2 linked regions of the Macaca fascicularis genome follow. The main gene of each other region encodes a partner of the protein of the gene in region 2 in a complex. Links are inferred from orthologs where the notes say so. Each region holds a gene or a part of one and is shown on either strand. Other genes may lie near its edges.

What was found.
Region 1: the proteins of DLG4 (region 2) and HTR2C are in contact, whole or in part, in an NMR structure (PDB 2MHO), measured with the Rattus norvegicus proteins. The link is inferred for Macaca fascicularis from reciprocal best matches to the Homo sapiens genes DLG4 and HTR2C. Residues at the interface, in NP_062567.1 of Rattus norvegicus: Gly74, Leu75, Phe77, Ser78, Ile79, Ala80, Asn85, Pro86, His87, Ile88, Thr97, Lys98, His130, Val134, Leu137, Lys138; in NP_036897.2 of Rattus norvegicus: Val452, Val453, Ser454, Glu455, Arg456, Ile457, Ser459, Val460.

The regions. Positions count from the first base shown.
Region 1 is NC_088395.1:121,112,477-121,116,124, reverse strand, and holds part of HTR2C (5-hydroxytryptamine receptor 2C), read right to left. Parts: intron 3,142-3,648; coding exon 2,828-3,141; intron 1-2,827. UniProt on the Homo sapiens protein: G-protein coupled receptor for 5-hydroxytryptamine (serotonin).
Region 2 is NC_088390.1:7,264,722-7,269,075, reverse strand, and holds the start of DLG4 (disks large homolog 4), read left to right. Parts: upstream 1-1,542; 5' UTR 1,543-1,659; coding exon 1,660-1,845; intron 1,846-2,438; exon of another isoform or gene 2,439-2,929; coding exon of another isoform or gene 2,930-2,959; intron 2,960-4,354. Other genes in the region: ACADVL (very long-chain specific acyl-CoA dehydrogenase, mitochondrial), read right to left, coding at 31-92. UniProt on the Homo sapiens protein: Postsynaptic scaffolding protein that plays a critical role in synaptogenesis and synaptic plasticity by providing a platform for the postsynaptic clustering of crucial synaptic proteins.

The sequences.
Region 1 (3,648 bases), on a different chromosome or scaffold from region 2:
GTTTTCTAGCACTGGGTTGAACCTATCAATATGTAGATTCAGATTCTCTTTTATTTCTGGAGGACATTCTTGGATTATAGTTTTAAATACTAATTATGTTTTACTATTTGTTCTTTTTCAAGAATTCTCATACATACATTTGATCATTTTTGCTGATATTTCATTTCAACCACTCTCTTTCTGACGTATTTTACTTCTTTCTTTGTCTCATCTTCATTCTCTTTGTTAACCTGTTTTTCTTCTATATTCCTTATTAAGTTTCATATGAATCAATTCTTTGTTGGGTGCTTTTCATGTTCATTCCTGATACGATGTCTTTTTCTTCTGTTTTATTTGTCCTGAATTCAGTTAATTTTGCTTCATGTTGTCCTATTTTTTGACCATTTCTATTCTGAGTTATTAGATTACTACTTCAAGGTACATTTTTAATACCTTAACGTGCTTGTTTGAAGATATTGTTTTGAAGTGTTTTGCTAGCATATTCTTCTGCTTGATCATTCTTTAGTGGAGGGAATGCTCATCAAATGCCTTCTTTCTATTCTCATATTCTGATTTCTTTCTACAGTACCTTGGTATAGATGAAGATTGGTTGCATCTCAGAATTTCTATGAACATGACTGGCAGTTTGTAGGTAGCTTCCAAAATTCCAAGCTCAAGAGCATCCTCTTCTCTTTGTGTATCAAAGTATGGTTTCTTTACTGGAGGGTCTTTGGGGGACAGTGGGAGACAGTAGAGGGAGGGATGATGGGCCCTAATATTTTGGCATTTTCCGTATTGTGAGATGATAAATTTCCCCCTCTTGCTTCTTTTTATTTTCACTGTGCTTTTTTTTTTTTTCAAGTCACCTCTTGCTTTCTTTGTTACTTTTTTCTACCTCCAAAGAATTAATTTTCTAATGCTGCTTTCTTGAGTCTTATGCATACTTTTCAGTACCTTATCTAAAGGCTAACCTTCTAGAGAAACGTTTCAGTATTTTCACACTTGGGGTAGACTTACTTGCTTGTGTTGTTGTTGTTGTTGTTGTTGTTTTTGAATGGATTCTTGCTCTGTCGCCAGGATGGAGTGCAGTGGTGTGATATCGGGTCCCTGCAACCAACCACCGCCTCCCGGGTTCAAGCAATTCTATTGCCTCAGCCTCTGGAGTAGCTGGGATTACAAGCACCCACCACCACGCCTGGCTAATTTTTTTGCATTTTTAGTAGAGACTGTGTTTCACCATGTTGGCCAGGCTGGTTTCAAATTCCTGACCTCAAGTGATCCGTCTGCCTGGGCCTCCCAGAGTGCTAGGATTACAGGCGCGAGTAACCACGCCTGGCCACTTGCGGTGAGTTTCGATCAATCTTAGGCTTCCTAATAGCTTTCCTCTAGTTTATTTCATGCTATTTTTCCTAGACTACTCTTCTACACAACAGCATGGGGTAGAAGCCTAATAGATAGTTCAATGTTATTTCCTGTTTGTTTTTCTACTTACAGGTAATTTGAAATTTGAATGTTCTCCACACTTAATGGTGGTATTGTGTAGTTTCATTGTTTTTTATATTGTTCTTTGTTTATTTGGGCAGGGGAATAGATATGTTAAGAGGCTTGGATTTATGCTAATACTATTATTTGGCCACTCACATTTTTTAAAAGGGAGAAGCTGGCAAAACAGACACCACAGAACAAAGTATACCTTCTAAATCACAGTTTCACTTCATTCCAGTAATCTTTTCTTAATTTTGGAGCAATAGAGTAGTAAAATGCCCACTGAGCAGATAAAATACTGGTGCTTTAAGGCTAATGCATCACTGAAACTTGATGAAGAATAAGAAAAGCATATTTCCTGAGAACACTTTATGAAATGCCTATTAAGATAATCTACTATTGCTGCAGGTTTAGAACAGGCTAATTAATTTTTACATTTCATGAGAGATTATTTTCTAGATGCATTTATTTTCTTTTAGGATTCGACAACTAGATACACTTTCAATATTATTTCTTCTAGTTTCATTATACACTCTAGGCAACTGGAAGTCTATTTTACTCCTTTGTGAGATAAGCATATTAGCAATTAAATTCAAACTGGGCTTTCCAACTTCCTAGTAAACATACTTTGTAGAATTGTGTATACAATTTGATTGTTCATCATAAATATTAGCTGGAAATGAAACCTTAGGTTAAAATGACCAGAATGAAGGGATGGAAGAAAATCAAAAGAAAAATTAAAAACCTCTTTAAAATCAATTGAAACTTTCAATGCCTGAATTTTTAAAGTGATGATATGAACTTGCACTTAAATACTTACTAATTAATTTTGCTATCTCTTGTCTCTTTGTAATAACAGAAATTATAGACTCCATGAACAAGAAGAATAGCTATTATCGAGTGCCTGTTTTGTGTCAAGCACTTAGTTTGGCAGCTTTAAAAAGGATTTCTTAAAATATATTTATTAAAGAGGATGAGCCTGGTTTTCCTTCTTTGTATCGGAGATGGTAGTAGGTATGTGTACTGCCCAGAACACAGGGCTTGAAAGATGTTTCTGTTACTGTCCCATTTGGTATACTGTAAGGCAACTAACTGTTCATTCACTGTTTACAAAGACACTAAGCTGGAGAGCATCTATGTATGATTTTAATATATTACAAAATGTCTGTTTTGCTTTTGGAAGACTGTTACTGATTTATTTAATAAATATGATACATACATCCAACTCCTTCTGTCACACAATTTGCTTTTGTCTTTTTCCAAATGTTACAAGTAAAATAATTAACTTTATGAGTGTTTACTATAATATGACAGCAATTTATAACCTTATATGAGATTGAAAAGTGAATAAAATTGTACTTACCATAAAGGATTGCCAGGAGAGACAGGGGCATGACAAGTAGTCCCACTAGCATATCAGCAATGGCTAGGGACATTAAGAAGTAATTGGTGGCATTGTGCAGTTTCTTTTCCATGCTTACTGCCATGATCACAAGTATGTTGCCACCTATTGTCATGATTATTATTACGACGATTGAAAGTGCTGGCCAGTTTTGTACCCCGTCTGGGAATTTGAAGCGTCCACCATCGGAGGTATTGAAAATGTCAGTTACTATAGCTGCTACTGGGCTGACAGAAATATCGCATTGCCAAACCAATAGGCCAATTAGGTGCACACTGAAAATTAAGAAGAAAAAAAAAAACAATCAGGTACATATTATATTACTTATACACAATGTGTTGCTCATGCAAAACAACTGCTTCTCCAAGGATCATTGTCATCATTATCATCATTGTCATCATCATTATTTCTACTCTCTTAATTAAATCTCAGTATTTCTTCTTTCTCTCCAAAAATCACCAACTTTTATTGAGTGATTATTATGAGTTAGGCACTTAGTTTGCTGAAACATGTATGTATAATCTCATTTGATCTTATTAAACAACCTCATGATGTCAGTTCTAATTTATATCCATCATGTAAATGAGAAGACTGAGTAAAGTTCAGAAAGGGTAAGTAACTTTCAAGCCCAGTCAGTAAGTGGCGGGGCCAGGGTCCATACTCAGGTCCCACTGATTTCAAAGTCTATGTTTTAAACTTTTACTGCAATCTGAAACCACAATATTGTTTGATTTGCTCTAATAGTCTATTCTTTATATTTTAAAAATATTATTTCCTTTAGA
Region 2 (4,354 bases):
GCCCCCCGTTCCTCTTGTCCATACACAGACCTTCCGCCCCCGAGCCTCAGCAGCTGCCGCCCCAAGCTCGGGGCTATCCGAGCTGCCTGCATCTCCGAGTCTCTCCGGGCGTCGCTGGACGGAGCGCTGACCCAGCTCTGGCGTCCTGTACGCCCAAGTCCTGGACCTCCTAGCCCTGACTCATCGTCCAGAGTGCACCGGGCGGCGGCGGTTGCGGGCCCCGGGGCATGCTGGGAGCTGTAGTTCCCTGGAGCCCGGCCCTGCGTTCCGCTGACCTAGGGGGATCTCCAAGCGTCTCTCGTCTCCCCCAAACTCCTTAATCCCGCCCGTCCGAACTAGAGTCTAGTCCTCCGACGGGGTGATGGGATAGGATGGGACAGAAGAGGAAGGGGCTTAAGTCACTGCAGCCAGAGGGATGGAGGTGGACTGAAGGGAGGGCTTCTCCGGTGGGGTTAGAAGAGAGAAGTAGGGAAAGAGAAGTGTAAGGTAGATGGCAGAAATAGAGGCACCGAAAAACAGACTCTAAGGTTCCTGATGAAATCTGTCTCGGCCAACACAAAAGGGAGGGCACGGTGGGCGGGGGGTGGGGGCACCCAAGCTAGGGTGTGAGTGCCCTAAGTGTATTCTTCTGAGACGTAAACCATTTCACTAACTCTTGAAGCAGCTACAGTTTCCCAGTGGGAAGGCCCCGCCAGGTTCGTTGCGCTTCCCTTAATAAAGCCTCTGAGATCTTCCTGAACATTCCCTTCTGTCTCTGCCCTCTGTTACTTCCAGAGACCATGTGCCCAGGCAGATGGAATCCTCCCGGGCCTGAGAGGAACTGCAGGAATTCTCCTGCCTCTTACCTGTGAAACCCCAACTTCTCTAGCCCTAGGTCAGGAAGTTCCAAACAATTTCTACCCCTCTCTCTGCAATTCTCATTGGGGTGAGAGGAGGCCCTGGAGGAGAGAGAGCTGGGGTCAGCTTCTTTTTGAGCTGCTGGAGCCCTCTGTGAGGAGGCCCTCTTTGCTGGCTTCTTAGGAGAGTGTGGCTAGGTTCTGCCTGCCTATGGGGAGACGGGCCAGGGTGTGTGCAGCAAGATGGTGGCGGCGCTGGTGCCTTGGGACCTGGGGGAATGGGACAGCTGGTCGGTTCAGAGATGGCCTACTTTACTCACAGCTGGAATTTAGTGGGGAGAAGCAGCTCAACTCCAATCCTGGAGGATTAGGGAGATTAAAGTGAGAGAAGAGAGAGATGTCCCAGAGACCAAGAGGTGAAAAACAGGGGTCCTTGTGGAGGGGAGGTCTGGGATTGAAGTGGGGGGCTGGGGCTCAGGGATCCTTCTCCCTGAATCTTTCCATAGGGCTTGGGGTGAAGGGCACAGGCTGGGGAGATGAAGTGACAGTGTGTTCGTCTTCCTGTGTTGGCCTCTTCCCTGTCCCAATTCTCCTTGCATCGCACTAGCTCCCAGGTCAGCCCTCTGGCTCCTGGCACCCCCGCTGCTGCGGTGGGCACCCCCCCTCCTCACAGTGCTGCATAGCGACCTCTTCCAGGCCTTGCTGGGTGAGTAGCCCGTTTTCTGAGGGACCTGGGCCTCCAAGGGCTGTCCGTTACTGAACTTCGGGGGCTGTTTGGGAGCCTGGAAATCATTTGGTCCAAGCTGGAGCCCCAAGCAGGGTCATGCCTATGGTGTCCTCCATGAGTGTGGACCAGCCTTGGCTGAAAGGGCTCCTCCCTTGCCAGCCGGACAGCAGCGGTGATGACAGGGGTGATGTGTCTGGAGAGGCCTGGAATGGGGAGGTAACTCAGTTCTGTTCTGTGGCAGACATCCTGGACTATTATGAGGCTTCCCTCTCAGAGAGTCAGGTAAGGAGGTGGGGGCGAGCGCCTTACTTCCTGAGGGGCAGGCAGGGCTGGAGGGGTGAGGCAAATATTGCTAATATTATATGGAAACTTGGGGGCCCTGCAGACGAAAGACTGAGTCGGTGGCCCAGGGACTTGGGGCACCGAGAATGCACTCTCTGTGGTCCTGTACCCCCTCTCCCTTTCTTCCTCCTTTTCTTTGGCTGCCTCAATTTCAGGCACTAAAGAGTCTAAGGCTTTTTAGGTTTCCCCCTGAGAAACCTGAGGCAGAACTAGGCCCCCAGGGATTGCCTCCTGCAGCCCCTCCCTCATACCCGACCCCCTACCGCCTGTCGTGGCCTCCCTCCCGTATTCAAATAACCATGGGTGCTCCCAGCCCAACTATAGGTGCTTCCTTCTCTAAGAAATGAAATCCAGCCTCATCGTCTTTGCTGTCATCGCTGGTGGCTGGCCAGGTCTCCATGTTTGCCTCAGGGCCTCTGTGCTTCTGCTTCTATCTCCTTTCCCATTATCCGGGTTCCTGCCAGCACGGAAGGAGTTAACTCTGCCAAGGCACCCCCCCATTCTGGCTCCTAGCTCCCTCCCTCCCTCCCCCTGCTTCCTCTCTCCTCCTCTCTCCCCTTCCCTCTTCGGCTCCACGGCTCCCTCGGCCGCTGCCGTTTCCAACCCCCCCACCCCACTCCCCCGCCACGGCCCCTAGCCCCTGGCCGTTTGGCAAGATCCCCCCCTACCCCGGGGCTCCCCGAAATCCAGTTCCCCTCCCCCACCCCAGCTCATGCCCCAGCCCCCGAACTCCGGGGCTGCCAGCCCCCGGTGCCCCCGCCCCTCCTGAGAATCGGGGTGTGCTCCCCAAGCCCCCTCCCCTCCATTGGGGAGCCCCTTTTAGGGCCCCCTTCCCTCCCCTCCCACGCTCCCCTCCCCTTCCCTTCTCCAACCCCCTCCTTCCCCTCTCACCCCTCCCCCCATCCTGGCCCCCCCTGCAAAAGTGGGGTGCGGAGGGGGGAGGGGTGAGAACCCACGGAGGGGAGGAACGAAACTCCGATGAAGTCAGAGCCCCTTACCCGCCGCCGCGGCCAGGCCCCCCAACATGGACTGTCTCTGTATAGTGACAACCAAGGTAAGCATGATGGGGGGGCTATAAACTGGGGGGAGGGCATGAGTTTGTGGGGAGGGGTTAGTAGGCCTTATCTGGGACTGGCGTCCCTGGAGTGGCAGCATCAGAAGTAAGATGTATTTGGGGGTCTTAATTTAGTTTTGGGGTTCACATCTGAGAAAATGCTGGATTTGGCCACAGGTGCCCCCTGGAGTGATCCCTTTGTACCTGTAGGGAAATGGAAAATTTAGGATATTCCATGGTTTGGGGGGCCTGGCGGGTTTCGGGGTTCACCAGCGCTGTTTGAGGGAGACTTATTTAAGGAGAAGCCTGGCTCACAAGGAAGTCCTGCTGGTGTATGTGGGAAGGTGGGCTATGCTGGGGGGGTTCCTCTTTCCTCCCCAGGGAAAAGCTGGCTTCCAAGGGCCTTGTCCAGTTTTGGGGGGCTCCTGGCATGGGGGTAAAGGTTATTGGTTGTGAGTGCCTGACTGGTCTGGGGTGTTAGCTGGCAGGGAAGGGGTGGGCCTTCAGACTCTGGAACAAGCATCTCGTGGCTGCATTTAGGGATGCACTCTCAATTTGAGGGAACTGTTAATTTAGGGTTCAGTCATATAGAATGGAGGTAGTTAGAAGTTGTCAGAGGGCTGGGGCCCTGGCATGGGATTACCTGAGGGAATGGACCAGGTGAGGCAAGGATGTGGGGGTATTCCCATAGGAGGCAGAAGATTGCAGCAGCCGAGCTTGCCAGCCTCTGAGGAGGAGGATGAGAGGCTTAGGGAGAGAGGGGATTTGAGGAGGGGGACCGGGTGGGTGGTGCACAATTTGGGGGTGGCCCAAAGGCAGGGGCCCAATGTCCCCATCTCCTCCCACACTGTATCTAGCCCTGGTCAAGAAAGAGGGAGAAGAGCAGATGGGGGGACTGTTCCAGATACCCCTGACGCTTGGGATCAAGATGGGGGAGGACACCAGGATTTAAGGGTCCCTGAGGACTTATGACCGAGGGTACTGAGGTTACCGGGGTGAAAAGGTGTAGGAGGAGGGCAGGGCTGGCAGCGGTGGGGATCTGTGCAAGAGTGTCCCTCTGGTTGGAGCCTGGCAAAGGCAGGAGATCCTGGATGGAGCACAGGCGAGCTCCTGGTGGGATGCGGATACCTAGGCTCTGCTTGGAGACTCTGGGACTGGAGAGCTGGATGCCTGGTGTGTGGAGGGAGGCTTGGGCGGGTGGCAGGCAGCTGGGGGCTGGGGGGTGGGACAGGAAGTGGGGGCCGGGGGAGGCGGGGTCCGGGTGAGTCACAGGCTGGGGAGGGGGTTATATTTAGTGGGAACTGCAGCTTTTCATGGGAGGGAGCTGAGGACACACATGTTCCCTGCCACAAACTCACACATGTGTGTACACATGCATTGTGCACGTGTGAGGAT